Linked DNA regions of Arabidopsis thaliana. The protein of the gene in region 2 interacts with the protein of the main gene of each other region in a pairwise test. Each region holds a gene or a part of one and is shown on either strand. Other genes may lie near its edges. The genes, in order: AT5G41920 and SEP4.

Region 1 (15,883 bases), on a different chromosome or scaffold from region 2:
TCCTGCATGTAAAGAGTTATGTGAAAAGATTGAAACTGACCAGAACGGTTCCAAGGTTGTATATGGCTCGATGGAAATCAAATTGCAACCTGATTGCCGCCCGAAACTGTATGGTAAAACAAGCGACAAGGGACAGTAAAAAATCAATCGTGCATATCAAATGCAATGTTTACATTAGTTCGACAGACGAATAAGCACCTTACTAATGGCAGTTCTGACAACTTTTTCCTTCTCCCTAGCAGGAACGATTTGACTGAGTTCCTAATGACAAAACCCAGGGAATATTCTAAGTTTTTTAGCATCTTAATTTTTACAAAAACACATTTTTATGTCACAACATATCATGGAGATAAACACATGTCAGTCAGTTACCTGTAGGACCAGTCCCCAGTTGTTTAACGCCTGCAGAAGTTGATAATTTAAATCATATGTCAGATAATCAAAAGACTACAAATTGACGACACAGGCTTAAAAAGGACATCATATAGTGACAAAGGTCTGGTTCTGATGAGACGGTATTGTGAAGTTCGTATATCAGATGACATAGATGAAGGACCATACCTGGGAACTGTTCCAATTGAGCTGGACAGCTTTTTCATAGTTATCAGCCGCCTGAAATCAGAATGTCAAACACATACTTCTTTAGAATTAGAAGTTAAGATCAAACTACGATAATTTTAGTTTTCACAATTAGCAGGATAAGGTCAGGTCAGTCCTCATAACATGCAAAGCTACTTACTTGTTCCCATAGTTCTTCAGCTTCCTTTGTGCGACCACGTATCTTTGCTCTATCAGAGATTGCAATAGCCCAGTTGTAGTAAGCCTATCATACGTCATACATAAAAGTTGAAGCCATTTATTATGAACTGAAAGCGATTACATTGCATTTGCAGTTACATAAACCAGAAACAAAACTAACAGATATAGAATCCTATTAATACATACATCATACAGCGTCGGGCAGAGACGGGTTGCCTCATCGTACTTCTTACAAGCTTCCTCCAGCAAATCATCTTTAGAAGGTGAAACAGAATCCGGGCTGACATTATCAGCACTTTCCTGTGGAGAAAGTATGGCAAATGATGAATTCAGTATTATTCCCAGTAAGCATACGAACGAAAAAAGTTCTAATGTCCCCAAAGAAAGACACTTCTAAGCTCTTACAGAAAGACTCTTATTTCATTCCCAGTGTTTAATGAATTTTGGATGTATGTTTTAGCTTCTTATTTCAGTGTCTTTCAATTCTTTCCTTCAACAGTTTAAACAACACTTGCAAGCAAGTAATAAGCAAAATCAAATCCATCTCGTTAATTATTTCCATATGAATACGTCCAACTAAAGCCAGTCACATATAAGAGAGACCAAGAAAGGGATTGAAAGAGAGAAGTGCTAAATAATAACGAAAAGAAACCAAACCTGGAGAATAAGTGCCCAGTTGTATAATGCATCATGATCATCTGGATTTCTCTCTATCGCACTTGCATACCTACAAAAGTTGCAGCGTATAACTTCACCGCCCGAAACAGCAAAAACATAAAATATCAAACCTTCCAATGAGCAATAATGAAACTAGTTTACTAAATCTCTGTATCTATCAATCCTGCCTATAAGGGTATAAGTTCCAAACAAAAAAACAACAATCTAATTCATTGGTCAATCAACTAACATTGATACAAAGCAACAAATTTTATGAATGCAATCAGGAGATCAAAATCGTTACATACTTGCGGGCAGCAAATGCAAGAACACGTTGGCGAGATCGACCCTCTTCGTCGTTAACTTGGATCCTGTTAATCAGATCCATTGCAGGATTGTTCTCCGCTGGTTGAGAAGCACTTTCTCGACTGAGCAAAATCATAAGATAAAGCACAAACAAAGTGAAACCAAATTCCAAAGACTAGTTACATGATCAAATTATGAAATTCAACTCAAATCAGCTGAAACTAAAGAGAAAGAGAGAAGGAACCTAAATGGAGAAGCAGAACTGTGAGGAGTGCCATCTCCTTCCTCGCTTTTTAATTCACTAAGAAGCTCTCTCATGGTAAATGTCTTGTTCCCATCATCATCTTTCTTCAGAACAGAAGTAGTAGATTCCTGTTCAACCTCCGTCGACCGGATCGGGATCTCCTCAGATCCTCCCGGAGACAGATCCACATCGGTTAAATCCGGTTTCGTATCGGTTACCACAGATTGTACCTCCTCCGGCTTCACCTCAGATTGTGCTTCCTCCGGTTTCGCATCGGTTACCACAGTTTTTACTTCCTCCGGCTTTACCTCAGATTGTACTTCCTCTGGCTTTGCATCCGTTACCTCCGATTGTACTTCCTCCGGCGTTAAATCCGCTTCTATTTCCGGAATTTCTCCGGTTAGTTTGGGCTCAGTTTGGAGTTGTGGTTCCGGAATCGGATTTTGCTCGGTTTCGGACTCAGCTGGTGCCGCTCCATTTTGTAATTGAGGCTCTTCAACAGTATCCGCCATTAGAGAAGCTGAAAAAAGATCGCAGTATGTTACAATCCGAGACTGATCACAAAATAAATCAAGTCTCCCAAGAGGAAGAAGATGAAGAAGAGATCTGATGTATCTGGAAATTGAAAACGAAGAATAGTTAGTTTGTTACAGTTATACACCTCTAGCTCAACCAGAGGCTCTTAAAACCAAATAAAGTCAAGTCCTTCTTTTAGCCTCAGCGGGTTCTCGTTTGGCTAAGTTTTTCTACATTTAATTTTAGCAATAGTGAAGACATTTTCATGCGTTTTAGGACAACGGTTTTTATCACATTTTATGTAACAAATAACAAAGAATGCAACAAACAAGTAAAGAGAGAGAACAAGAGTGAAAGATATAAGTAGTCTTAGATCTTGTCGTGAAGATTGACGACTAAGTCATGAGCATCGTCTAGAAGTTTCCAAACATCAAGATGACCAGCCATGCTGTTACATTCCTTCATTATCTCATCCATCCCACTGTATTTCTCTATTATCGTCTTCCTCCTCTGCAGCACGCTTGCAGCTATCGCGTAAAGCAACAAATCTTCTGTCGGTGGTGCTCGTAACCGGATTCTCCCCCATGTCGCCTTCGCAATCCCAGTTCGTATTGCAGCTTGATCCGCCCACATTACTTCCCAGAGACACAACGTCTGCTCAAAGGTTAGTTCTCGTCTGAACAGAACTACAACCATACGGTATACAAAGAAGCAGTCTTCTGCTTCAAGGTTCTCCAAGTGTCGGTACAAGTGAATGTCTTTGAATTTTATGATTTTCGATACCATTGAGAGTTGCCGCCTGATTCCAACCTCGTCTAACCGGAAATTATGCCGTGCTTTACTCATGAAGCCAACAAAGCACCAGAATGCTAAGACGTCGTCTTCCATCACTGCGATTAAAGGAGATAGTAAGTCGCTCATTCCTTGACAGTAACCAATTTCTGGATCATAGACTGCGTAGGCTTCAAGGATCCCGACCAGGCGGGCTGCGTGAAATATCCGGCAGGGTTCCAAGTGGTCATAGTCATTGAGACCAACCTGAATGGCTATTCCCCGGGCTTTTGTCTCAGAAACAGCAGCTTGAGTTGGTGAGTAGGGCACCCATTCGTCATTTGCTCTCACAGCATCTAGGCGGATAATTCTCTGCCAAGTTGACATGAAATCCTCGTCCGCTGCCTGAGATTTTGGCTTTGATGATGGAGACGAAATTTCTTTTTCTTGGTTAACAGTATTGTGGCTTTCTACTTCTTCGTTAGCTAGAAAAGGTGAAGTCTCGGTTTCTTCAGGATTGGTTGAGTCTGAATCATTACCAGCAGCATCTTCTGTGGTGACATCGCTCTTTTCACAGTTCTCATCCTGCATAATCGATTCAGAATTCAACTTCTCTGATTCATCTACGGTGATGGTTCTTGTGGAACTCTCGACTTCCTCAATATCATGGGATTCAAGAACCTGACTGTCTTCAGTGTTGCTGCTCTGAGCTGTCTCCTTTGAGTCGCAGACATTTTCATAGCGTTCATGAATCTCGCGACACTGTCTCCGCAGGTTTTCATATTCCGTCCTGCAGGATTTACAGATATAAAAGACGTTACTTACAAACTGACTCGAAATCTCAGTGTAGGAGTTCCAAACTACTACTTCTTATTCCTAGTTTTATCAACACATTGAGCAAGTTAATAACCAGCTGCCACCTAGGAGAACAGAGATAAATGGGAAACGTAACATTTGGTAGAAAGTTGAGAAGCCATTAAACTCTCAATAAGTATAAGCAAACATACAGTTTCAGCTGTCGAATGGAGTCTCTTTCTTCTTTGTTGCTCTTTAAGTCATACCTGTGAGAGGTAAGTAGCATAAGGTTACAATGTGTCGAGATGATAAAGACTACAAATAACTTGCACAGGTTTCATTATCAAGTTAATGGAATGTAGGGCGACGGCTGGTGGAGTTTGGTATGGCGAAACTAGGACTAATCTTATAAATCTCTTGATAGAAAAACATTAAGGCAACTCTCTGATCTCCTAGTTAATGAATGCTTTACTGATGCACTGTTTATTCAACCTTAAACCTACATAACATCAATATCCCCAAAGAAAAAGCTAATATCAATAGACCATGCATGAGTATGAACATAAGGCCGAACAGAAAACCCCCAATGGTAGCCGAAAAAGATAAAACTCATAAAAGTATACAAAAAACAAGGAAAAGTGACAAGATGCTGATTCTTACACTCCAAGAAGGAACGGCCAAACTTCTGGTCTGATGCTTGGATGTACACCCTGAAACAAAAATAAAAATTAGTATATCAAAGTGTCAAAAGGTTATCAACTGCAGATTACAGCAGATTTTTTTCTTATTTAGCAACATACCCCACTACGAACTTTCTTCAGAAATTTGACACCTCCATCACTGAGTCGCCCTTCCTCTGTGAAAAAAGCATTCCATTGTTTAGGTTGAAGAACTCGCTTTCTTCTCCTTAGTGACCACGGTGATCCAATGCTTCCTCTGAAGAAGTAGATGAGCAGAAAATGAGCAACTTCGTCCAGTAAGTTTAGAAAGAAAAAAAATTACATAAAACCAAACCAAATGTAGTGATAAAAAGCTTTCTTTGAACAAATAAGACAGGCTAAATGGTACATGTTATGTCCTATATTCATATATGTTAAAAATAATTGAAAGTATCAATGGAGTTCTATCACACATCAGAAGACCTAAGACTCTTAACCACTTCATCACTACATACAGAAACAGTCCAAGAGATGCCAAGAATTAGAATAAGGACCAGAAGACAAAAGATCATATCAGGCTGCAATTATTCGATCCAACTCTTCATGGTATGCATATTTATGATGCAGAACTTAAACAAAATAGCTTCATTGCTTGGGTTGTAGAAAGAGTTATAACAACAAAAACAGATTTCTGAATTCGATGATAAGAGATTTAGCAACAAAAAGCTTATGTATCTGACAAAATTGCAAAAGAAGAAACACAAATACAAAGCTTGGGGAGTTGATTATCGAGAGTTCCTTTAGGAGTTTATACAAAGTTCATGAAGTTTCAGACTTCCACCTAAGGACCCTTCTAGAATCACTTTGTTTGTTCAATACTAACCAAGAGAGCATGTCATACAAAAAGAGACAACCCAGCAAACAACCTAAAAGTAAACATTAAACATTGGTTACATTTTCCCTCATTATACTATAAAAAGCCTTAGTGCTTCGAGCCTCAAAATCATTATACGCATCAGAGTCTATGAATACAGAATATGGCCAGGACTATGTTCAGCCTGAGAGTCTTACAAGTTCCATGACAAGAAGAGGTAGTGGAAGTACGAGTTAGCAGCTAACATTGGACCAAGAACTCAATCACAATAACCTAACTAACAGAGAATTCTTCGAACCTAAAGGCATGACGATCCAGCCTCGAATTGGTGAGGTAACAAAGAAGCAAGAACCAATCAAATCTATGGATACCAAATAACTACTTAACTAAGTAGTGAACAAGCATTGCTTCTTTGCTTTGAAGAAATCGATTAGAACATAAATCAGATCGTTTTTGTGTGTATACCTACGAGAGTAGACGGTGAAAGCGACGGCCACGGCCATGACGGTGACAGCGACAGCTAAACCAACATTGGAAGGAATAACGGCCGACGACCACAATCCACCGTAGTAGCCATTTCTACCAACGCCGCCGCCGCTGCTACCGTCGGCAAAGACGATCCATTTCCCGGCGATGATCGGGGAGAAGAAGACCTTCGTCAATCGTAGTCGTGGAAACATCATCCCAAAACTAGGGATTTTGCTCACCGAGATTTCTTCTTCTGATTCTCAGAGTAAAATCATAGCAATTTCCTGAGTTGAATTGGATGAAAATTGATTATTGAAAAAGTCGAAGGTCGTTTATAGAAATTGGGCCCACTTTTTTAATGGGCCTTCATACAGTTGGGTCATTCTTTCTTCTTTCCCCCCCTCCCCTCCTCCCCCCCCCCCCCCAAAAAAAAGAATGGTTGTCATTTTATTTTTATTTTGTTAGTTTTTGGTTTTTGTTTTCGATTTTTGGCTTTTGCACTACATCTTTCTTTTAAAATTGTACAAAAAAAGAAGAAAAAAGAGACAAGTATCCTGAATTTTCTAAGAATCTCAAGTTGTATGAATTCTAGATTTGATTTAAGAATTGAAGGAACAAATTAAAAACCAGTTTCACTAAATGTAAGAAGTTGATGGTCTCATAAAAATTCCACTTGATGTTTTTCATGAATACTATGAGAAATGATGATTTTTCATGGTGGTATCGTCTATGATATTAGACCTTCTATTTGTTGTAGCTGACTTTATTAACAGATATGTGTATAGTCATAACCTCTTATGCTTATTGAGTTATTTAACATGAACCTCTCTTATGCATATAGTTATCTAACAAGAACCTCTCTTATGCATATAGTTATCTAACATGAACCTTCTCATTTTTAGTATCAACAACCTTCTCATTCTCAATATCAACAACTTTTTGCGTCAATGAAGACTTTTTTTTATCGTAATTATCGTAATTTGTTTGGAAATATTTTCAAAACAAAAAATCTTAATGATCACTTTGCAGTTTGCATTATAAAATAAAAATAAAATCAATCGAACGGCTGAGATTTCCAGGCAGAGGCAGTCAAAAGCGAGAGATCCTTCCAGCCAAGACGGAGGGTTCCATTCTCTTCAACCAAAGTATATCCATTCCACGGTAACATACCCAACAATAAACCCGCTTGTGTCGCCGGGTTACCCCGAAGCGAAACAGGTCTAAACCCGACCCGGCTCAGTTCTTCTTTCCACTTCATTCTCTTCCTTCTTCCTCCTCCGTGCGCCACAATGTTTCTTATCTCCGTCCCCAAAACAATCTGCTCCACCGTGAATCTCTCACCACTCTCTTCACCCAATCCATCTCCTAGCGCGTCAAACAACGCGCTATAATAATGCAAAGCCTCCACGAATCTTCCTAAAAAGCTTCCTCCATCGTCGTAGCTCAATTCTTGCTCCACCACCGTGATCAGATTCGGTTTCAGCCTCCGTAGAATCTCCAACGTCTCGAGATTGTTCCCTGTAACATCATATAACCGGTGCTGCATCCAATGAACCACCACAGCTTCTCCTTGTCTCGTTGCGAGTTGGCTCGGATCGATTAGGTTTCCGATTATGCCTTCAATTGGATGAAATTCGAAAGGGAGGTTTAACGATGATGCGAAATCGGCGAGTCTCCGGCCAGTTGAAGCGAGTAGATCGGAGGAGGAACCAAATCCGGTGATTCGAATTGATCGGAGTTTTCGAGGACGTGAAGCGAGGATGTGAAATAGAGCCGGCCATTGAAGACCTTGCATAACATCGAGATCGATGATATGAACGGAATCTTCTCCGTCAAGCGCCTGAAAAATGGCTTGATTCGCCGTGAAATGTGAGAATTTGATCAGAGGACTAACGGAGTTATAAGTCTGCAAGGCGGAGAAGATTTTCTGAGACTGAACAACAGTGAGTGGTTTCTCGGAGAGGGGAGAACACGCGCCGGAGAGGTAAGAGCTGATCACGCGCGTTTGTAGCGCTTGAGCGAAGTAAGCGACGACTCGCTCCGGCGAGGAACCGAACGGAGAACATATCTCGGAGATTTCGGATAAAAGTGTTGAAGCTTCACGGAGATGATCAGTAGCTACGTATTCGGCGCATTGGAGGAGTAAGCTAAGGAGTTTGATTGCGGCAGCACCGTCGTTTTCGAGTGTTTCTTCGGGGAATTCGATACGGCGTTTAGCGGAGGAAGGATCGTCGGAAGATGGGAGATCTCTGTCTATGCGTTTTGTAGTCATGGAGATTTTGTGAGAGTGGAATCATTGAAGAGAGAAGAAGAAGAAGCAGAAGATAGAAAAAAAAGTGGAGATTCGAAAAGAGAAAGGGTTCGAGAGAGTAATGACAGGAATTTTGAAGAGTGAAGACAAGATAGTATTTTGGATGGATCAGTTTCTTGAAAAGATTTTTATCTTTTTTGCAAAAGATTCAATGTTATAATCAAGTGCTCTTTGTGAAGATTACAGCTCCTTCGATTACTCTTTTTTTCTTTTCTTTTTTCTTTCTATTTACTTAAAACCATTTTTTTATTTGTGAAGATTAAAACCAACGAAACCAAGTGAACAAACCCAATTGGAAAAGATTTGGTGAACTCTCATGTTAATCGTTTATGTGTAGAGACTAGAGACATTAAAAATGTACCACTTAACCAGAGAGATTTAATTTGTCAGTTGTTTTAGTTGAATTTGATTTGTAAAACAGTTGTTTTAGTTGAATATAATTTCACACATTCATTCAAAAAAAAAAAAAAAAGGTCTCATGGATTGATACTTAACCAGAGAGATTCAGAACCATCTCCACCTTTTAAAATCAAAAGTTCAAAACAATAGACCCATTAGTTTAAGTAACCGTAAATGGACATGACTTAACTCCATTGAAAACCATATAAAAGCCCAAAGGCCCATTAATGACTACAACAAATTCAAAACTCGATTGTTAATTTTCTTTTGACCACTTTGACTTTGCGCCTGTGATCTTCTTCTCAAATCCATCCATGTACGCTCTCTGAACTTCTTCTTCTTCTTCTTCTTCTTCGTCGGTGGTCCTAGGGTTTCATCGTTCCCAGAAATTTCATCCAGTTGTGTCAATTGGAATTGATCTCTACATAAATTGTTTCCCTCAACCTCTATGTTTCCGTGATTCAAAACCCTAATTTGTGTGTGTTTTAATCGCGTTTCTAGTTATTCGGTGATGGATCAAACACAGAACACAATCGCCGGAATTGGTGAAATCAACGGTTCGATAAAAACCGAAATCAATGCAATTGCAACCGTCGACGATTCAAATGAGAAGCTGAACCAAATTATAAACTCGAATCAGAAAATTTTAGAACTCCTTCATCAATTAAAACTCACCGTCTCTTCTTTCACACCTGCTTCTCAGCTTCACCTCCTCCAACGCCTGTAACTTTTCTTCTTCTCTATTGATCCATTGTTTTGAGTATTGTGTGATTGAAATTTTGTCTCTATCTGCAGCAATTCTCTTGTGATGGAGCTTGATAATATGGCTAAGTTGTCTGATAAATGCAACATTCAAGTCCCCATTGAGGTTCTTAAGTGAGAACAAGTCCCTTTTTAGACTCTTTAGAGAATTTTTGTTGCTCTCTTATGTTTATATATCTTTGTTTGTTGTAGCTTGATTGATGATGGGAAGAACCCAGATGAGTTTACAAAAGATGTTCTTAATAAGAACTGCATTGCTAAAAATCAAGTTACAAAGGGAAAGAGTGATGCTTTTAAGGTGACTCCTTTTGCTCTACTGGTTCTCTCAATTTGGCCACTCATGATTTTAAAGTCGACATTGTTTGGTACAGGGTTTGAGAAAACATCTCTTGGAGGAGCTTGAACAGGCTTTTCCTGATGAAGTCGATCGGTATAGAGACATACGTGCTAGTTATGCTGCTGTAAGTTGTTGACGTTCCTTTGTTTCTCATCTGAGATAGTTTCTACAATAGTTAGTCAAGGTGATAAATTTATTTTCATTTGAATTCAGGAAGCAAAACGGTTGGCTCAAACGCAAAGTGTGTTACCAAATGGGGATGCTAAGGTCAAGAGTGAGCTATAAGAGCTATGAATCTTGCCTTTTAGAATAAAATTTTCAAGTAGATCAATGAGGATGTAAACGAACAAGCCTTCTTGGAATTTCTATAACATCCGTTGGTTCTTTTGCACTTGACTAATATAGTTTGAGAATTTCTCCTTAGCTTTCTGAGGTCATGACTCATGAGGCTGTTAAATAGTCACTCATAGGTTACAAATAGACTAGTCTCTTAGTTCTATCGATGGGTTTTGTACCTAGTATGTGATAGATTCCTATCAGAGACATAAGATTTGCTTTTTACTAGGACGATTAATCTTGGTTCTGTATAAGATAATCTTCTTGCCGAAAGAAGAAGTGATATGGCTTTGCATTGAGTTGGTTGCAATTTCAATTTTTGTCTTATCTCTGGTTAAAGGAAGCTTCTCATTATCTTTAGCTGTAGTAATGTTAACTACACAAGCATCGTGTTTAGATTGGCTTCTGTTTGACCACTCTCCAACTAGAGGGTGGTATTTATATATTGATGGTCTGTGTGTTTAAGCATTGTGTTACTATTTCCAATAGTTCTCATCACCGAAAACCATGCTCTCAAAGATATATTTCCTTTTCTCAACCATTCTTACAAACACATTTTGATAAATGTCTTTGATCACTTCCTTCACGCTTTTACTATTTCAACTACCAAGGGATCATACAGATTTGTAGTTTAATCAGATACTATGGCTCTGCTTCGTTTAATCAGACACTATGGCTCTGCTTTTATAGTCTCCATATCAATACTTGGTTCTCCTGCAGCTGCAGAAAACCAGTTTTCAGTGACACCATGTGAGCTGTTGTAAAGAAAGATGAAGGACGCGGTTCTGTCCATAGGGAGGAGGCTCAAGAGACTCGTAACCGGCATCCAACGTAATGCTTGGTGTTGGACCTGGCTCGTCTATTCTGAAACCATACAGCGACCTTTTGGGGATGCAGAGTCAGCTAGTGAGCTAAGTCCTGAAGAACTTTGAGTCTACCTCCAACATGAACAGCAAAAACTTCGAAACACAAATGAGTTTGGTGTGCCTCTGTTCCATTAAAAACTTAAAAACGCAAATGAGTTTTGGTGATATATGTTATGACAATCGAAATGATTAGTGAATATGATCAAAGAGTAATAATGTTACATATCTTAGTGGTAGAAAGTAGAAACCTATAACCAAGTGGTTTTGGTCTAATGGTAGCTTTCTATGACTTTTTAAAGATTTGTGTTTCATAGGATTTTCTAAAGGTTGCGAAGTTGATATTCCGATAAAAAGATGTATGAGTTTCGATCTAAAATTTTCCGAATATTACCTAAATAGATAAAAGATTATTGTATATCAATTTTAAATAATTTTTCTATGACTTCGTTAAACGAATTTGTTTTGCAATATTAGATGAAAGAATACTCATAAATCAAAAACGTAACTCCTTCTAAAGTATTTAACATTGCTTTCAAAATTTGTTTTAGTAATCGTGTTCTTGATACCGAAATACGTAAGTATCAACGAAAACACATTCGAACCAACTAAACCTCAATCTGTTTTTACTTTGATCTTCTCTTTAAACTTTGGCAAAAAGTTGCATGTAATTGTAATTTGTAAATGTAGTCTTTGGCTGAATAATTTTCATTCATAAAAAAAAAAATGTCGGTCTTTCTTACTAGTTATTATGTATTGTACCTATGTAGAATATTTGTGTATTTGTCAAATACTAATTTAAAATTATGTATTTGAAAGTATCTTTATTGTATGTGTGGGTAAGGGAGAGATGGGAGGCATGTGATTGTCACATGAAGTAAATGAGGACGGTGAAGACACTTCTCTCTCTCTCTCTCTAATGACATCTTCGTCAAATCCAAACCTAATCATGTTCTAATAATTCACCACTCTTCTTTCTTTTTTATCTTTCATTCATTTACCTATATTGGGTCCTTTCTCAACTAATCTTTTGACTTTCTCATTAGACACCTTGACTTAATTTTGGTCATTATAATAAAAACGATCCGACGACTATAGACTTTTAAGGTTTTAGTTAGTAATCATTCAAAATCAAATATATTCAAGAAAAAATAGTTGACTCCTTTAAAAAAAAAACACGAGATAGTTTTACGTTCATTTTATTCCAAGAGCTAGAATATTGACGACTCACGGATTTACATGTGAAATCATTATTATTAGATTCAAAGATGAACTAAAAAAAGAGGTGGAAATAAGTCATCAAATTGTTTTTATCATTATGACTTTAATATATGTTTGTTCTTTTCGACTTTTCTATCTTTTTCGAATTGCCTTTTTATTAAGCTTTTGTTTTTTTTACCCCCTACATTTCCACAATCTTTTCCTAATAATATCCTCCCTCTCTTCTTTTCATCATTGCTTTCTTGTCTCCTCCTCTTTCAGCTTTTATTTCTTTATAAATTAAGCTCATCTCTCTCTCTCTCTCTGTTAAAAGCTAGGGTTTTCTTATATGGAGTCCATGTTCTTCAGTGAAGCTTTTCCTTTTGAGGGGAATGTTGTCTGGCACGAGGCCCTTAACTTAGATCTATATTTGATTATATATATATGTCTCTTCTTTATTCATTAGTCTATACATGAATGATCATTTTACGGTTAATGACGTCGGACCAGGCTTCATTCCCCTCAATTATATCGCTTCGATCTTTCCTTCTTTGAGTAAACTATCTCCAGGTTAGATTTGGTTTCATTCATCTTCTCTTTTTGTGGTAATTGGTTTAGCTTTGTTTCTTTGAAGTTCAAGCAACTTCAATTTCTATGGATGGTAATGGATTACTTTGTTTGGTTTTGCTACGAACTTTTTTAATCTCAAGTGATGAATTGGTTGTATAGGTTAATTACACAAGTTTGAGGTTGATAGTTGACTTCGGAATTAATTTTATAGCTAGAAGAAAACAAGAGCAGATTCTTACTTTGTGTATCATGTATATGTACGGAGAACAAATATTCATAAACTTAGCAAACCGAGTTTTGATGTATATTATGCTCAAAATCACAGAAAAACTAGTTAAAACGTAATTCAAGATCGATGTATATACTCAATAAAGTCTTATTTGTCAGCTTTTTCGTAAATATATTATTAAATTATTTTATTTTTGGTTGTTTCTTGTTTCATTTCCTTATATATTTACTTATCTATTGTTTCAAAAAACCTGAATTTATGTAAGTGGAAAGAATTAGAAGAATAAAGAAGGACAAGTGGAATGGGATAAGAGAAGCAGATGCTTGCAGGAAAAAAAAAAAAAAAAGAGAGAAGCAGATGCTTTGCTTTAGGTGATGCTTACAAAAAATTACTTTTAATAGAATTTGAGTGAATTCTCTTCTTGTTGCATTTTTACTTTATATCTTTGGAAACGTATGATTCACAAAGGTGAAACTACAGAATCAATCCTATTTCACTCACTCTATAAAGTTTCGAATGTGTCTTTACAGCGAAAAGAAAAAAGATGAAGTAAAAAAAAAAACTTATTCATATGATTGTTCTAGATAACTTTGTAAAAACCGTTTTGATCTTTCTAACTTTTATAAATATAGTTGCATGTTTAACTTGTAGTACTATTTATCTTATTTAAAACACACTTTCAGTTATGTTTTTACATTTGTCCAACACCGGTTATATATAATTAATGTAACAAGTACATTTGTTATGTTTTTGTCACTATACATCATTCATGTTTTTTTGGGTGAAACTATATATACCATTCATATTATCTTTAATTGTCTCTCTCTTTTTTTTTGCATATTAATTAATTTAATTCTTATGTGTATATATATATGCCTTAAGATGCGACGAGTGTTTATTCATGCAAGTGAATACAATGGGATAATGTGGAATAACATTCGATCTTGAAAAGATATATGCTTAAGTTTTTAAACCAACTACACTTTCTTTATTGTTTTATTTCAAAACATTTATCTACCTAGCATCTCTCTATCGTCTTTCTTTTAATTTATAGATATATAGCTTAGTTTACTTTCAAAAATTTCTAGTCCCCATATTTTTGAGGAAAAATACAGATGTACTATGTTGTTCCAGATATATGTCTCAAACTCCCAATGTATTTGATACGTTCTTTGAAGCCATTGAAGGAACATTGATGCTTATAAATGTGGTAAAAAAAATAATTGAATGTGGTCCGGGCTAAAGAAGACAAAAACAAAGACAAAACACATAAGTTTGGTGAACCACTAGCTACTGCCATTCTTAATTTGGCTAATACTAAAAATACCAAGATGTTGCGCAGGGGGTAGTTGAAAGAAAGTAAGTTAGTGTAGGTGTGTTAAGAATTATGTTGGCAACCCCGCAATGATCTTTAGGCAACATCCAATAGAACCTAAGAAAAAAAAAATCTGCATTTTGATATGTTTGTAACCCATCTTGACTCGAACAACATTTGATTTTTTTTCCACTTATATGAGCACATGATCCAACCATGCTCCGATATCACTTTTCTAAGTTTTAATTTCAAAATCCATTTCAAATGACATCACAAACACTTTAATATTGTAGTTTATCATTTATCTAAGTAGATAGGAATGCTATATATAAAATGCCACTCGAACAATCATAACTAATGGTAACTATAATCATTGGTTACTTCGCCTATACTAGGCATAACACCATCATATATGAAACAAATTTATATGAAATATCTTTTAATACAAAGAAATATTCAAACACATTCACAAAACTTGTACATGCTATTCATTATAAAGCATCTTCAAGAAATACAAAACAGATATATGTACATTTTCAAGGACACCAAAATCCACAACACCCTTCACGTTAATTTGTCCTACCATGTTGAGGCATTTTGGAATCGATAAGCTATTTTGCAAGATTTTCACTATCGTTATGTAACAGTTACGCGTTTCCGGTATCTTCCGAGGATTGGTGCAGCTATCTTTCGAGGAATCGTTTGTTGAAGAGTAAATAAAAATTTTATAACAAGAATATGAGGTAAAGTTATTTAGGACACTCATGTGGTGATTTACACGAATCATATGAAGTTCAAATCAAAATATATATTTTTTTCGTTTCAGAATTCGAACTAGTAAGTTGACTTTCAACGACTAGGTATCGTGACCTAAATAATTTCTCCCAATCCTCAAATTGACAAAATATATGTTGAGTTTTGGATACCATTGTTAGAGCTTGGCTTGGGTGGTCAGTGGTTTTTCGACTGAGCTGACACGCTACCGAAACATGTATTCTTGATAGGTTCCTTAGGCACTTTCGTGTATTTGATGTTGATACGGAAGCTAAGCCATCGGAAAGTTTCATACGGATTTCATTACCGACCATACCTAATAAAACTTTACCGCAACACTTATTTTTATCAATAATTATATATAAACTATATAGTTTTTGAAATTTTATTTTTGATCAACGTGTATTCTGACAGTACATATGGTATTACTTGTAATCGTGAAGGTATTTTTCTTCGTGAATGCATTCAATAGGCTCACACAGAGTCATAGTCGAACTATAGACTGATAGAGACTACTTGAGAAGTAAACTAAGCCCACGTCTTATTTCACCATCATAGAATATGGTTATGGTCGGCCCATTTCATTTAATTCCCTCTCTTGTCGAAAATCATTTCTTTTGTATTTCTTCTTTTAATTTGTATTTTAATATTTTTTCTTTCTAAATTAACTAATTTTCTAATCCATGGATATGAGATGATTATGACAAATATAAAAAGTACATCTATTGACAAACGGTT
Region 2 (15,883 bases):
AAGTAAATGTTGGTTTTTTATATTTGTGGTTGTATATAAAATGGATTCTTCTTGATTTATTGTTTGTTACCAATCACTTTCGATCGTTTTCTATAATCGCTGGTTTGGTAAATCTCATTAGATTTCATTTGACATGGTCCTGTTGAAACATCTATTTCAAAATGTGATAGATTTTTTGGAATTGCTCATAATAATATGAGTGATGGCATATATAATAATGATAACTTTGGCATAAAGTCATAACAAATATTGGGTCATGATCCTTGTTGATTGGTGTGCCACACCTTTGAGTATGACTTTTGCCACGTGTCACTCGTTGTATCCATAACTTTCTTTATTTTTTTATTATGGTTTATGAAAATCAAATTAAGAAAAACTTGCACCCACGAACTTTCTTATTTTAAAACAAAAGTTCAATTTAAAATTGTTTGTTGTGATATGTATTGCCCTCATCACGATCATTTACATATAATTTTGGACGGCTAAATTGATAATTCTCTCGTTTTGTTATAAAATAATGTTCCAGCAGCCCCGACAAATACCAAAAGACAAAAAAAAATATATATATGAAAGGACTGACCCAAACAAAGTAGAAAACCAGATAAGAGACAAAAATAAAATAAAAAAAGTGGAAGTTGCTAATAAATTTTATAAATAAATAATGAAAAATAGAGTTTCAATTGTTCCAAACACCTACGTTTAATTAAATGATTTTTTTGAAAAAATATATAATTACCATATCTAACGACGTTACATGTGTAGTTGTGAATTTAGTTTCTAAGAGTATACATAAAATATATATGCACATGCAAAGTTGCAAACACAAGCTAAGCTAGGTCCCTTCTTTTTTGGGGCAAACACAAGCTAGACCCTTTGTAACCAGATTACAAACCAGAAGAGGCACAAAAGAACGAGGCAGACCAAATCTTAATTTGATCATTCATATCAAATTTGGACTATCCTAGATTCCTAGATTCCTAGCTAGTTGACATTTGACATGCACGTATCAATTATATCGGCGTCCACATAATCATAACATCATTATCACATCATCATCATTATCGTCATACTATCATCATCCTACCACCATTATAAAAAAAAAGACAAATTTCTCGTATTTTTTTTGTATCGTATATATAACCTTTGGAGAATTTTTTTTTTTCTAAGACCTTTGGAGATATTAATAGAGATCAGGTACGGTAAATTTCTTAAATTCCCGATGAAGTTTATGTATATTCACATTCTTCCCTAGAAAATCCCAACCGTTTCCGAACTGTTGCAATAAATTCTAATACAAAATCGTAATCAAGATTTCCTCCTTGTAAATTGAGCAAAGAGTTTAATTCATCTAATAAATCGTTTGGCATCACAACTACAGCTATAAAAATCACATGACCTTACACTCGAAAGATTAAAAAAAGAAGAAGCTAAAATCTTAGAATCTTGATAATCGTCACTCATCAGTATATCAAAATGAGCGACAACGACCGTAACAATAACCAGAAACAAGACACGTCATCATATCTTGGAACAGCCATGGCGGTCATAGGTGTCGTCGGAGCTATTGCCGGTTTATTCTCCGGAATGAGTTCGGGCCTCCACAAGAAGACCATGAAGGCACCAGGAAAGGATGGGCGAATTTTCAGGGAAGTTTTCGAAAGCAACCCGAAAGGTTATTTTCGAAATCTGCGTAACAAATGAATATTTGAGTATGTGGGATTAATATTACCACAGGTTTCTTTTTTATGATTGAGTAATAAGAATAATAACAATGTAGCTAGGTTTCATTTGATATGTCAAATGTACCATGTTACGTTATGATTGTTGTTATGTTATATAAAAACTTTATCTATTTTGCTTGTTTTGTTGTTCAATAGTCACTTATTCTAAATTATTAAATTATAATTTGAAAATGACGAATGGCCAACAAAAAAAACACGAAACTTAAGTAAAACGAGCAATCAATCAAACCAAAAATATAGACTCGATTCCAATTTTAGATGATAAGTTATACAATTTGAAACTATATGGGACAAGAGGAAGATAGTGATATATGCTGATAATGGTAATGAGGTTTATGATGAAGATAAAATTCATAGTCAAAATTCCTATTTCAAGTTGATGGCCTTTTATTATATTCTTTTTTTTTTTTTTGACACAAAAGAACTCCATATGTTATTAGTTTGGTTCGAAAAAGTTGGTAGCGAAAACCAACCACTCCGGAACCTCATAACTTACATGGGAGAAGATAAGATCACGAGAACGGGCACCTTTTGCAAGGGTATCGGTTCGGATATTCAAAGTTCTAGAAAAGTGTGAGATCGAAAAACATCTAAAAACGATTACGGATAAGATTAAAGAACTCAATTTCTGTTTCAAAGATTGGTCCCGGATCTTCTTCTTCAATAATTTTCACCAACTTCGAGCAATCCGTGTCAAAGTGTACCGAGTCAAGACCTCTATGTAACGCAGAGTCCATAGCCCAAGTGAGAGCCTCCAGTTCAGCCTGAAGGGGGGATAGAGCTCTTGACTTACCTCTAGAACCGAGTAAGATTCCTGATGGAGTATCGATCACGAATCCGAGACCGGATGTGTTACCATCTGCTACCCAAGAAGCATCCACTTGACAACGGAGTTGTCCGCCTTTTATTATATTCATGTGATATCTATTCGAGATATGAATTTAATTGTTCAACAAAAATATTTACTTACAAAACATTACTTAAAATTAAGAATGGTACATGCAAAAGGAACGTAATAGCAAAATTTGTATCGCATGAAGAGTTGGTTGCAAATTAGATCTTGACAATATCGAGTAGAATTTGGTCTACCCAATTGTGGGCTAGACGATGTCTTCAGCGTTTTATTCTTATGATTTTATCAAGAAGAAAACCATATATATAACATTAAAGATTAATTCACATATTATTTCAACATAACTTAAAGCATTGTACTTACTAACTAGTCATCTTTTGGGCTCACTAGAGTATATTTCCTATTTATATTGGTCTATTTTTAAATACTCTCTTTAAATAATTTATGTAATACGATTTAACTGCTTAATTAATTTGTGCTGCACCAAAATTTTAATAGTTAAAATTTTAAGTTTATCAACTTAAAGTTATGATTTATTTTCCTTATACTAAAGTGATTAATAGTTTCTCAACCTTGATTAGTGTATCTCCATTCTCTATCTTTTTTTTTTTCTCGTTTACTCTGCCAGAAAAATAACATTACAAAAATAAATGATTAGTGTATTAGCCTATTATTAGGAGATTAGTGAAATTAAAATTTATTCTATTTTAACTACTTACAGGTTATATAATAGGCATATATATTAATGTAGGCTTTAGAGAATAAACTACTGACAAGTTAGAGAATATATCAATGTTTACAGTTGTCTAAGCGGACAAAAGCGTCTATACATTGGATCGCTTTTTATTTATCATTCACAAATTATAGTCCGTAATGATGCGGACCCCCAAAAATAAAAGAAAACTGTTGCGGACTAACTGCAGACGGTCTTTAAACTAAGTCTGCATCGCTTTATTGTCCATCCCAAAAATAGTATGGATTGGACTACTGACGGATGAGTTCGCACTAACCACAATATTCCGTTGAATATATCACTACGAGAAGTCAGAACGGTTTAACTTAGTACAAACTATCCTTTGTCGTTCATTGATTATGAACAAAAGCATTCAAATTCCCAAGACGTCTATATCTAAAAGTTTGCTTAGTAACCCGAAACGTTGTTTCGAAGGGAACATGCAATTACATTACATTAATAAATTCTCTAGTCTTGGTCACGTCCTAGGAAATTGAACTGGCGTTTCAATAAATCAGCCATTCAAATCTTGACCTCCCCTTATTTTTTGTTCCAATAACGTAACTTCTATTATTCCCATACAAGACAACTAAATATAACTTATAATTCTGCTTATGATAGTAATATGTAGAAGAACAAAAGAGATAAAGCAAATCATATGGGTCTCCTAACTATTACTGTCCTGTTTGTCCTCACTCTAATAGGTATCAACCTCAGTTTCACAATAACCGCCGTTACAACTACAGTCGTTACCGTCGGAGCCGTCACCAAAGCATGTGTTTACCGGTTTCAAGTCGGGAATGGAGGAGGAGATATCGGAGGGTATGACCGTTATATGTTGAAGTAATAATATTACTTTATGAAATAATGTTGCTCTATGTGACTTCTTTCTCTGCTTATACTATTTCTCTCTTTTTGATAAAGCTTTGCTTAATGTTACTATTCTATTATACTTTGAGGTAGAACACAATAACAAACATTGACAAATATGAAGTCTTTACATATATAAGAAAAGGTCTTATAACGAATACAGATTATCAATTAATCCATAAAACATGAATTCTTTAAAAAGATTCGTTTCGATTACAAAAAAAAAAAAAAAAAGATTTTGGGATGAATTTGTTTGAAATAAAAATTAAGCCAAGAGCCAGAAATCTTTGTGACGTTTCGTGGTGATCAAGTAACCTCCATTGTTACTCTTCTTCCTTACGGCAATAGCCATACAATCGGAGTTATGAATACAATACTCGACCACTCCTCCTCCCATTCCTCCCTTCGTACGCCATTTCCAAATCACGCGCCACTTCGAGGTTCTCTTTCTCTGCCCTAACACCAAAACGCCTGCTCCTTGTTTCTTTGATTCCTCCACTATCGTCTTACCTTTCTCCTCCGCCGTTTCAACCACCACTATCTCCGTTTTGACCTGAAAATAAACCTTAATGTCAACAAAGGAGAACTTTTGAATCAATATCAGTTTGCTGTTGCTTAAAGCTTACGTTAGGTTTCTTGAGTTGACAAAAATTCTTCAATGGATGAACTAGTTCATGAGCCCTTGAGTTTCTCTCCCTTTGTGTCTCATCTATAGCTATTAACACAATGATCACATTAGTTAATAGCGACTCAATAAGGTATAGATGTCAAATATGCTATAGTCCTGTCCATACTCAAATCAAAACCAAATCTACCACACAGAAAACAACATTGGGCCCAAAAAAGCCCAAAACCAAATCTAAGGTCTGATTCGCCTAAAAACCCAAAAGAAGCGGTCTTCACCCTGTTTTCTAGGCAAGATATATAACAAGGTTTCGAGTTTTGGCTCTAATGGTTTTACCTCTATATTAAAGGTTCTAGTAAATGCAACATATGAGTAATATACCTTGTCCTACGGGTGTTCTTGTGACATGGAGAAGAGTGATATTATCTTCATCTTGAACACAATGTGTTAAAGCCCATTGAAGAGCATTCTTAGTTTGTGAAGTTGTGTCCACAACAACCATCACTTTCCTCCCACTCTCAGCTTGAACTCCTCCTCCTTCACCATTCTTATTAGCATCCTCTGCTTTCAGATTCTTACTATGCTTCGAACCGTTCTTTCTCGAACCCGAAGTACTTCCTTCATCTAATGATTTGCTCGACGATGATCCTCCTTTGAATGATGTCCTAATCTTATTTACCCAATACCCTGCTGGTTTCCCCATTTTCTTAATTCTTGTTTTTCTTCTCTCTGTTCTTTGAGGTTTTAGTTGTGTTTTAAATACTGTTATGTTTGTTTGGTTTTTGGTTGGAGCCATTTCTTGAACGTGCTTGCCATGAAAATAAAATTAAAATAACATTTTGGACTTGTTCATTATAATCCAACCTGGCAAAAATTATTTAGTCGTTTTAATTATCAACATCACAATCTTAATACAAATGCAGAGCACTACTTGTTTCAGAATCCAATTCTTGAGACATGTTCTAATCCGGAGAACTTTTGTCATAATCTAACAAATTCATATGATGTTCAAAAATAAAACAAAAATAAGCTCCCAAAACAATATTTTATATTTCAAGAGAGCCAAAAAACAAAGAACAAAAAAGTAATAATCTGGTGTTTGACATTAGAGCCTTGATTATATAACAAAGTTTTGTAATAATGAACTATGTTTCTCTGGCAAAAATCAAATGACACAAGCAATGATCTTTGATCTATAAAACACACATATGTGTACATATATAGATATGTATTGTTTTCAGACCATCCATCCAGGGAAGAATCCATTAACATTCTGTGATGTTGTTGCAGAGTTGGTTGCATTTGCAGGATTGTGATTGTAATGACTGCTAATTATATCAAAACAATAAAGAAGCACAAACAAATGTTAAGTATTTCTGATTAGGTAAAATAATTCAAGGGTCTTGACTATTTGTTTGTAGATACCTCATTTGCAATGCTACATTGCCTTGTAGAGGCTTGAAGAAACCTGCTTCCTGAATTGGAGGGTTTGATTGATAAGAGCTCATGCCTTGTTGCTGTTGTTGATGTTGTTGTTGTTGTTCTGCAGCAGAACTTCCCCAAAACGATTGAGTAAGTGCTGCATCACTGTCCTCCAACTGAGAAAGAAAGAATAGGAAGATTTCAAATGACAAATGGTTTCAGTTTCTTGCGGTAAAAGATTCCGATAGCTACCTTTCTCCTAAGATCTCTATTGGTTTCCAATAACATTTCCTCCTGTAAATTGAGAAAATGAGAGCTTGTTGTATTTGGATATTGTGCAACTTTTATTATATAAAGTATGTACCTTAGTTTTGAGGTCAGATAGTTGATCAAGCATAGACCGAGCCTGGCAATGAAAACGAAACAACGATTTAGGATGAAAGATTCGAAACAAAATTTGTCGATTTTGTAAGCTTAGAAATATACCTTGGTAGATCTTATTTGTCTTAGTGATGCATCTACTTGGCGTTCGAGATGCTCAAGCTCATTCACATCCATCTCGGATAGCTCTTCACCTAGCAAATGCCTAAAAAGAAGAAACATTTAGTAACAAGAGCATATATAGTTACATTTAGATGGACTAGGATATATAAGTACCTTTGTGAATGTTGAAGGATCTCAACTCTTGATTTAAGCTTCAAGTAGTCTTGATACTTATCCTGCCAATTTAAAATAAAATTAAGGACAACTTTGAGGTCAGTCTTTGATTGAAAGAGAAGATATGTACCTGCAAGTCTTTAGCTGATTGATTTGGATCCATTGTTGCATAACTATGTTTTCTATACTTATCAACCGTCCTCGCCATACCACTTTTCATAAAAACAAATGATCATTTTAACTTTTAACATATATTGATAAACCAAACTTTAAATTTCATTATGAGAATAATATAGAAAAAAAACCTTAAAAGCATCTCCATGTAAAAACATCAAGAACATCAAAATGGGTATCAATCTCATGATGTTTGTGCAAGAAAAATAAAATAAATTTATGTGGAAATGATAAGTAGCTAGTGAAATTGAGTATCATCACAGTTGTCTCTTTATAACTTTAATAAGATCATAAGTAGTACTTGAGAGAGATACTAACTTAAAGAAGTAGTCAAAGTATTTTTTATATCTTTTACAGCTTTGTGTATATATCCAGAGGTCAATTCTTAGTCTCTTTGGAAACTCTGATCAATCCTTTGGAAACAATATCAACAACACTCAATCTCATGTGTAAAAGCTTTAACTATATTTATATATGCTCTATAGCTTCTACACATATCTACTGTACTTTTTTCAGCCATAGTCTCTACTCTCTAGCTTTAATCATCATCTAGAGCAACTTAGACGCTTTGTACGTACTTTGATCATCGTTCACTTAATCTCACTCTTTACGAGCCAGATTTATGCGTATGAACTCACAAAATAAATAAACCGTAGTTAATCAACTAATTAATTGTAACTAAATCAAGAAAGACAACAAAGTTTTCATATCCTTTATAATCCTTAAGAATCAAAACCCTAACATGGATCAAAATATAGAAACTTTGAGGGAAAAAGTAGATATATCAAAGATTAAAGAGTTTTCACCTAGGGCTGCTGCAGAATTCGTAGAGCTTGCCACGGTTAGAGAAAATGAGAAGAGCAATCTCAGCATCACAAAGGACAGAAAGCTCATAAGCCTTCTTGAGCAAACCATTTCTTCTCTTTGCAAAAGTAACTTGTCTATTGATCTTGTTCTCTATCCTCTTCAGCTCAACTTTCCCTCTTCCCATCCTCTCTTTTTCTCTCTTCTCTCACCAAGAAACCAAAACCCAACTGAAAACTCTCCTCCTTTTTATCACTAAACCAACAAGTAATGAAAAAGAACCTTTATACACACACACATCTATATCTAGATAAAGTGTATAAGTAAATGTGTAGAGTGTATATATAGATCTTGTCTCAAAAGGATTCTGGTTCTTAATCTAGGGCATGAATTGGTTTCCGGTGACTAGGTGGTGGTGGTGGAGGAGGAGATTGTGGTAGTGGTGGTGGTGGGCCAACTGTGTTCAGGTTCTTCTTTTGTTGAACTGATTTTTAAGAGAATATAGCTTTGTGTTGGTTTTGCAGAGATGCTAAGCCATTCTTGGCCAAATAAATGCTTCCAAACTTATATCCAATCTTATCAACTTTCCTTTTTTAAAAATTAATATAAAATATTATAAATTCTAAAAAGTATTTTTGTGTAGTTACATTATTTTAGTCTTACTTCATCAGGGAATATATATTATTATTAATTTTCTTTTACACTTTTGTTTTTGCAGAAAATAAAAATTGATTCCTAGTACTTTTCTAAGGAGAGTTAAGATCTTTTTTTCTCTCTCTCTATAGTCCAAACAAAATGCTTCAACTTTTCTCTTTCACTCTCCTCCATTGGATTTTTTAAAGATAATATTTACACCATAATATATAAATAGATTGCTTTCTTTCATCAGATCTAGTCCATAGTTTAATAATATGCTCAAAAAAGAAATAAGAAAAAGATTCTAAATATAACCTATAAAGATGCCTTAAATAGAGCATATTCACAAGTCCAAGTCCTATCTAATATCTGGTTATGTATTGTTCATGAAATGAAAGAAGTGCAAATAAAGTTTTGTTGTTTTTTCAGGTATTGACACGTTTAGATTATGTAGATAACACTTATAATGTATATTGTGTGTGTTTGTGAATAAAAGTAAGAAAATGATAGGCTTCTAAAAGATATGTTTTTTTCTGCTTATGCTTTGCTTCTCTTGCCGACAAGTTCTTTCGTATGACAGCTACTTCACGATCGTTTTAATGCATAAAACGGATCTATACGGTTACAAACAAATTATGTCACTCTGAAATGGTTAATCTGATATGGTACTATTTACTATTTAAAGAGAAAATTTATTTACAAAGGTTTTTACGTCTCACATGCACTATGTCTTTTTATATATATATGGTGAAATTTAGATATTGAAATATATCATGTTTTTGTTTTCTTTCCAATTTCTGAAAATTTAGTCACGTTCTTGTTCAATACTATAAAATCAGTCCAATCATGTTTTTGACACTAATATAGATGTGTAAGAATATGCAATCTAGCATTTATTAGAGGGTTTCGTGTTTAGGTTCTCTTCTTAAGAAGACTGATGTATTTTACTAGTTAATCGATTTTCATAAAATACAGTAGAACTCACATAACGACTCTAGATTTATTTATAACAATAACTCGTACATGCTTGACACAAAAATTGCAGATTGATCTTGGCAAGAAAAAGGAAAATTGTTTATGAACATTTAAGCTCTCAAAGCCTTAGTGTTTTCAACTTTTTTTTTCACTTTAAAGGTTGGTAATTGTTTGACAGGTTAATTTTTTAGGATGCTTCTTGTCAGGTTAATTTGTTTTTCCTCACTTCTTCTCATGGCATCTTATACTATCTACATCATGATGATGATGGTTGTTGTTAATTTACTCATGTGATATGTCTCACACAACTTTTTTTTTAACTTTGCTTGCTGACTCATATTTCACTTGGTACCTTAGTTATTTTGTTCAACTTCTATAGATCGATGGAATATTAGTTTTTTTCTTTCTTTCTTTTGGGTACTATAAATCTTGTTGATGGAAACTTGATGTATATGCGCATGTCTTATCCAGATTATCATGTAAAATGATCCTTATCTTCTACGCACTTGCTATCCTCCACCATTCTTTTATGGTTCCAAGTTGTGACCTTACAACATGCAACATATAGATTGATGCTTTAGGAAACATCTAAAAAGAATAAATACGATATAATACTTGCAATGTGCTATTCCATCTTTTATATGGATAATTTAGGTAGATAATACACAACTTTAAAATGTCTAGTTTAGAAATGATCTCTGATAAAATTATATATATGAAAGTTGGCCAACACTCTCCATATGAGTAACACATCATCACACCAATGAGTGCCACATGTCATTCTAAATTAATATCATTAAAAAATAACAAAACTTAGTGATAAAAAAAAAAAAATCACATTGCATTGAATCACCCATTAATCCCATTCTTAACTAAATGTCTTCATCAAAAAGAAAAAATATGAAAAATCATGTTAATGTATTAAACACTACTTTCATTTTACTTTTCTTATTTTGCTATTTTTTAATAGTCATTACTTGATAACGAGTAGAAATTTTCGGGTATTGCAACTTACTTGTTTGCTAACTTTTATTAGTTTAGAATTTTAACTTAGTATTTTCTTATTATTACTTTTTTTTTCTATATGATAAGGTCTTTTTGTGCTTTACGATAAATGGATAACATTAATAATTACATACATATTTTTTTAAGTAATGGTCTTTTGAGATGTTATATATACTAAAAAATTTAATATACGACACTCTCTCCAATAGAGATATATGCAAATGCAAAGAGAGAAACCTAAAAATGTTGATCTAAAATACTATTTAATTTTTGCTTTTTTTTTTTCTCTTTCATGTGAAATCTTTTAAAGCAAATGAGTATAGTTAGTTATACATTTGTTATTCAAATCAAGTCAATCCAATATTTAGCTATGAGCCTATGATTGGAATATTAGATTAGGAGAGAATACATAGATTGAATTTTTTGCTTAGAATCAATTTAGATAACTTTCAAACCAAATAAGTAAACATAATTGCATACCATTGTATCATGTATTGTTAATGTAAGTATTTCATGATAGTGAAAAAAGATTAGAATATAATTGATATTTGAATCAAAAGTGAATCTAACTATACACATATAATTACAAAAAATGAATATAACTTTATTAACTACAAAATACCATACACAAAAATAACATAAATTAACAATAAAAATAGTTAAACATAATTTTTCTAAACAATTTTCAAAACAACAACCCACGCATAGCGTGGGTACTCACCTAATAGTCATAATAATTATTTTTCTATACGTCTCCACAAATTACTCCTAGAGATGGTCTATACATTATTAATCATTCTAATCAGTAATCACTTAAGAAAAAGGAGTTATTAAATGATGCATAATTATATATGATAAGCTTAATTAGAAAGAAATAATTATGATACATTATTGTCCTGTTTTCGAAAAATTTGGAATAAGGCTCAAGTATTAGTTAGTCATATTTGCAGAAGATAATATTATTGTTCAACTAGATGTATTAGAAATAAGATGTCAATTGGATCGTTCTATTGAAAGAATTCAGATCTTAATATCAGGCTTAAGATGCATGATTGATGCAAAAATTTCAAAATACGAGATTTATCTTCCTTTTTTCTCTGTATACTAAAGTTTAATGTAGACTAGTCAGTTTATTTATGAGCTAAATATATATCTAAGAGTTGATAATACTTAACCTGCATGAAAGTGACAAGTTTTCTTCAAAATGTTTTCTCACGATTTTAAGTTCCTCCATGGGAGCTAGTGTGATATATTTAGTATCTTTTTTTCTCTTGTCTTTATTTCTCGTTTTTTTCAATTCTGAAACATAGTGTTTTCTGAAATTATTAAGGATTTTTACTATTTTTTGGAGTGACATTTATGAATTTTGCCATTTTCTTAAAATTTTACGGATTTACTATTTTGATCATTTAAAATTATTAAATTTACGATTTTTAATACTAAAATACATACTTTATAAGAACACATAAAACCTAATAAATTCAAACATAACGAATAAAACACATGTTAATCGTATTTTTATAATTTTATGAAAAATTTACAAATGCCACAAATGGTAAACTCATAATTAATTCTTGATTTATCCATACTTTTAGACTTAGGAACGTTGTTGATTCATTTGTAAAGTATTGTTCTCCAGTTTATATAACCAATTTTTTTTTTCTTAAATTTAATGTGAGTGGTTGACATAAAAAAAAGGTAAGTTTTGCAAGAACCACATGAAGCTATTTTATTAGTACAATTCGAAAGAAAAAAAAACAATAGTCATTTTCAGAAACTCAATTATTAATTCTGTTCATTTATGTATGTATATATTTGGGGTAACTAGTAGCTAGTAGCAATTCTCTTGTTCTGTTGGGGAGAGGTCCCTTGTATGTACGATTATCATTTAATATGATTTTGCAGACCAAAATATTAAAATTTTGTTAAATGGCTATAGGTTACAAACATCATTTTGCAGGGTTTCTTCCGTATAATTAGACTAACAAATTGAAACTACATTAATTAGACCCCATGATGGTCTAAAACCCTAGTTACTACTCGATGGACCATAGGCATTTTAAAATGTTGAGACATGATTTTGTAACAACTTTTTCTGCCTTTCTGCGTCTAGTATTTATTGGAATCTCTTTCACAATTTAACAGCTCTTTCTGGCTTTGCAAATATAGTACATGTTAGATGTTTCTTGTTTGAAAAAGAACTTTTAAACCGTCTGAAAAATAAATCTATATATAATATAGATAATATATGCAACCCATGCAATTGCTGCTGTTCGCCTATATAATATATGATCGTAAGTAGATTATGATTGTTAGATTATCATATCAGAAAACACTAATTCAGTCCGTATGTGTTTCTTAATCCAAATTAAAAAAACGCTAACTTAGTATTTACATCATCATTTTGTGTTCAATAATATAAAATATATGTTATAATAATCTATCAAATCTTTTTATTAATTAATTATCAAATATCAAGATCCATTTAAAACGAATCAAATATTTCTAAGTTATATGAATTTGAAGAATCGCTTGATTATTTTGATTACTCTATAGAGTGAGATAGAGAATAGAAATCATATGGAGTATAAAATTCTAAAAGATATGTATTAGAAAAAGTAACTTTAACCTAGTTCATAATACGAGGTAACACGAATAGAAGTTGGCCAAAAAAGTCGTAAAACATTCAATTTTATTAATTAACATTTATAATTGTACTTTATTGAAGATACTCTTCAAATCTTTAGTTTTGCTTTTAACTAACAATCAAGAACGTAAGATGAGGGAAGCTTACGCAGGTTGATGGTAAGGGGACAGAGTAGGCTACGTGTCGATCTAACGTTGGTTCCAAAAACTATAATTTTAGCATATGTTGCGATTGAACGAAACAGTCATACTCACATCACGTGCCTGTACTGACACGTGTTGACATATTACTGCTGCCTTTTAAGTTTTGATACACACTATTGAGATACTTGATAGTTGAGACTTGAGACTTCAGAGACGCAGACAATTTGTTATTTTGGAGGATCATTTTCTTATTATCTATCAAGTTGCGGGATTAAATCATAATTGACACATAACCGTTTGGTAATTATCATACATACACTCCTTAGTTTGTTTTTTCCCTTCTTTTCGTATTAGATTTCTTCCTCATAATTCTAATATTCGACCAGATTATTTAGCTAATAAAGCTCGGGCTCGTAATAGCCTTTTCTCCCATATAAGCACATCGGTTCCTTAATGGCTCTCTCTAGCAGAAAATCTCTTTTCGATAACTTAATATAAATAGTGTTTGATAAAAAATTTTTTTTTATCATACATACACTTAACACCTGGATTGCATGAAATTGGAAGCGAATACGCGGAAACACAAACGTTTGGGAAACGTCAAAGTGAGTTTTTTGAAAAATTTTAGAAAGCGGGTACATGTTGAGAATTTAAATTTGAGATGAAATTCTGTTTTTGGTCTCTCTTGTTTTTATTTGAGGTTTCCATTTTTATGGTATTTAGCTTACATAGGTTAGTCTTGTGGAATTGAATTCTTGTGTAGATAGAATTGAAATTTGAGAATAAATTGTTGTTTTTGTGTACTCTAGAATTTTGTTTCTTTCTCTCTATGGGTTACTCTAGAAAAGATTTTAAAATAATTACAATATTCAGTTGTTTTTTGTGTACATATAAATTAATTTTTATAAAAATATTACATTATATACTTATTAAGCATCAATGCCTCTGTAGCATAGTGGTATTGCGTTCGCTTCGTAAGCGAAAGGCCGCGAGTTCGATCCTCGCCGGAGGCTTTTGCCAATTTTATTAACTACATATAACTATATATCAGTTACAATATTTATGGGCCAAAAGCTCTTCTTATTGGATTTGACTAGGGAATCTCTCAGTTTTTTTTACCCAATGGCCCAAGTTCTTATATTTCAGTCATTTATTTTCGGTTTTTCTTTGAACATTAAATGATGGGCCACAATGGAGTTATAAACTAAAGGCCCCAATTGAAATCTCTCTCAAAAACTTTCAGTCAAATCTTGAGAACAGAAAGAAAGTCCACGCGAGGACATAAGCGCGTGTGATTTAAAATCGTCGTCGTCGTCTTCCACACCGACTTTAATCTGATTCTTAGAATCGCCGTTTGGTTTTTAACCAGAGAGATTATCTACCAAGGAACGATGATTATTGAAAGAGCTCGAGTTCCGTTGAGCCGATGGCAACAAGCGGCCGTGGCGATGGGATCTGCTCTCGGTGCGTTGGTTGATCCTCGTAGAGCGGATCTAATCGCTGCTCTCGGCGAAACTACCGGTAAACCAGCTTTTGAAATGGTTCTTGAGAGAATGAAGAAGAGCGAAGAAGGAAGAGTACGTTTTTCAAATCACTCAATTTCTCTCTTATTGTTGATCAAATCATTGATTTTGCTTAAGAATGATTGATTTAGAAATTGTTCGATTTAGTAATTCTGGAGTAAGCAATGAGTGATGTTAAATTGATTAACATTTTTACTTGATGTTGGTTATATTGTTGAGTAAGCAATGGTGTTTTGATCTTTGGTGGTATCTTTACTTTGAAGGCTATATTATTGGAGCGTCCTCGAGTTGTGTCAGAGCAAGTAGGTCATGCTTGGGATCTACCAGAAAACACATTTGGAGCTGCATATGCTAAATTCATGGGATCTAGAAACTTCTCTCCCGATGATCGTCCGCCCGTAAGATTCATGGAGACGGATGAATTGGCTTACGTAGCGACACGGGCACGCGAAGTTCACGACTTATGGCACACTCTGTTTGGCCTTCCTACGAATCTTATCGGCGAGTCGTCTTTGAAAGTTATCGAGTTTGAGCAAATGTATCTTCCGATGTGTATGCTCTCTGTGATTGGAGGTACTGTGAGGTTCAACGAGAAGCAAAGATCAATGTTCTTGAAGCATTACCTTCCTTGGGCTGTTCGTGCTGGAAGACAATGCACTGACCTCATGTGTGTGTACTATGAGCGTCACTTTAGTGAAGACTTGGAGCAAGTTCGTAGAAAATGGGGAATCATCCCTGCTCCTCAACATCCTAAATGACGGTTCTAGTTTAATCTGTTTTCGAATCACTTAGTTATGCCAAATCTCTTATAAATGTGTAGTGGATTGGATTAAAAGTTGTACTCGCATTTGATGGTTAATAAGAGACAAGTTGGGAAGTTTTTGATTCAAACATTTTTTCAGCAAAATATTACAGATAAGAGTTGAGACAAGAAACCGACTTCTTATCATTTAAAGGCTCACATCAAACAGTTTCATAGTGAGATAACGCAGCAAAGACAATGGATAGATAAAGGTCTTTGCAATTATTTTACTTGCCACCAGTGAAGAGATAATCCAAGGATGATCCTCCTCC

The links.
Region 1: the proteins of SEP4 (region 2) and AT5G41920 interact in binary tests that used the Arabidopsis thaliana proteins (3 or more experiments, as listed by UniProt).

What each region holds. Positions count from the first base shown.
Region 1 is NC_003076.8:16,772,420-16,788,302, reverse strand, and holds AT5G41920 (GRAS family transcription factor), read right to left. Parts: upstream 8,661-15,883; 5' UTR 8,322-8,660; coding exon 7,104-8,321; 3' UTR 6,879-7,103; downstream 1-6,878. Other genes in the region: AT5G41950 (Tetratricopeptide repeat (TPR)-like superfamily protein), read right to left, coding at 41-106, 199-261, 373-402, 562-612, 740-823, 946-1,059, 1,417-1,486, 1,725-1,844 and 1 more; AT5G41940 (Ypt/Rab-GAP domain of gyp1p superfamily protein), read right to left, coding at 2,852-4,043, 4,261-4,314, 4,709-4,758, 4,849-4,984, 6,047-6,264; MED10A (Mediator complex, subunit Med10), read left to right, coding at 9,271-9,482, 9,555-9,635, 9,714-9,819, 9,893-9,982, 10,072-10,143; AT5G41908 (uncharacterized protein), read right to left, coding at 10,865-11,020. UniProt on the Arabidopsis thaliana protein: Probable transcription factor involved in plant development.
Region 2 is NC_003071.7:1,121,806-1,137,688, reverse strand, and holds SEP4 (K-box region and MADS-box transcription factor family protein), read right to left. Parts: upstream 8,422-15,883; 5' UTR 8,068-8,421; coding exon 7,883-8,067; intron 7,115-7,882; coding exon 7,033-7,114; intron 6,965-7,032; coding exon 6,903-6,964; intron 6,832-6,902; coding exon 6,732-6,831; intron 6,652-6,731; coding exon 6,610-6,651; intron 6,540-6,609; coding exon 6,498-6,539; coding exon of another isoform or gene 6,447-6,497; exon of another isoform or gene 6,422-6,446; coding exon 6,249-6,421; intron 6,152-6,248; coding exon 6,061-6,151; 3' UTR 5,851-6,060; downstream 1-5,850. Other genes in the region: MRH6 (Adenine nucleotide alpha hydrolases-like superfamily protein), read right to left, coding at 4,464-4,751, 4,825-4,913, 5,205-5,526; AT2G03690 (coenzyme Q biosynthesis Coq4 family protein / ubiquinone biosynthesis Coq4 family protein), read left to right, coding at 14,678-14,863, 15,073-15,567; SPR1 (spiral1), read right to left, coding at 15,839-15,883. UniProt on the Arabidopsis thaliana protein: Probable transcription factor that binds specifically to the CArG box DNA sequence 5'-CC (A/T)6 GG-3'. Plays an important role in the determination of flower meristem identity. Involved in the specification of sepal identity.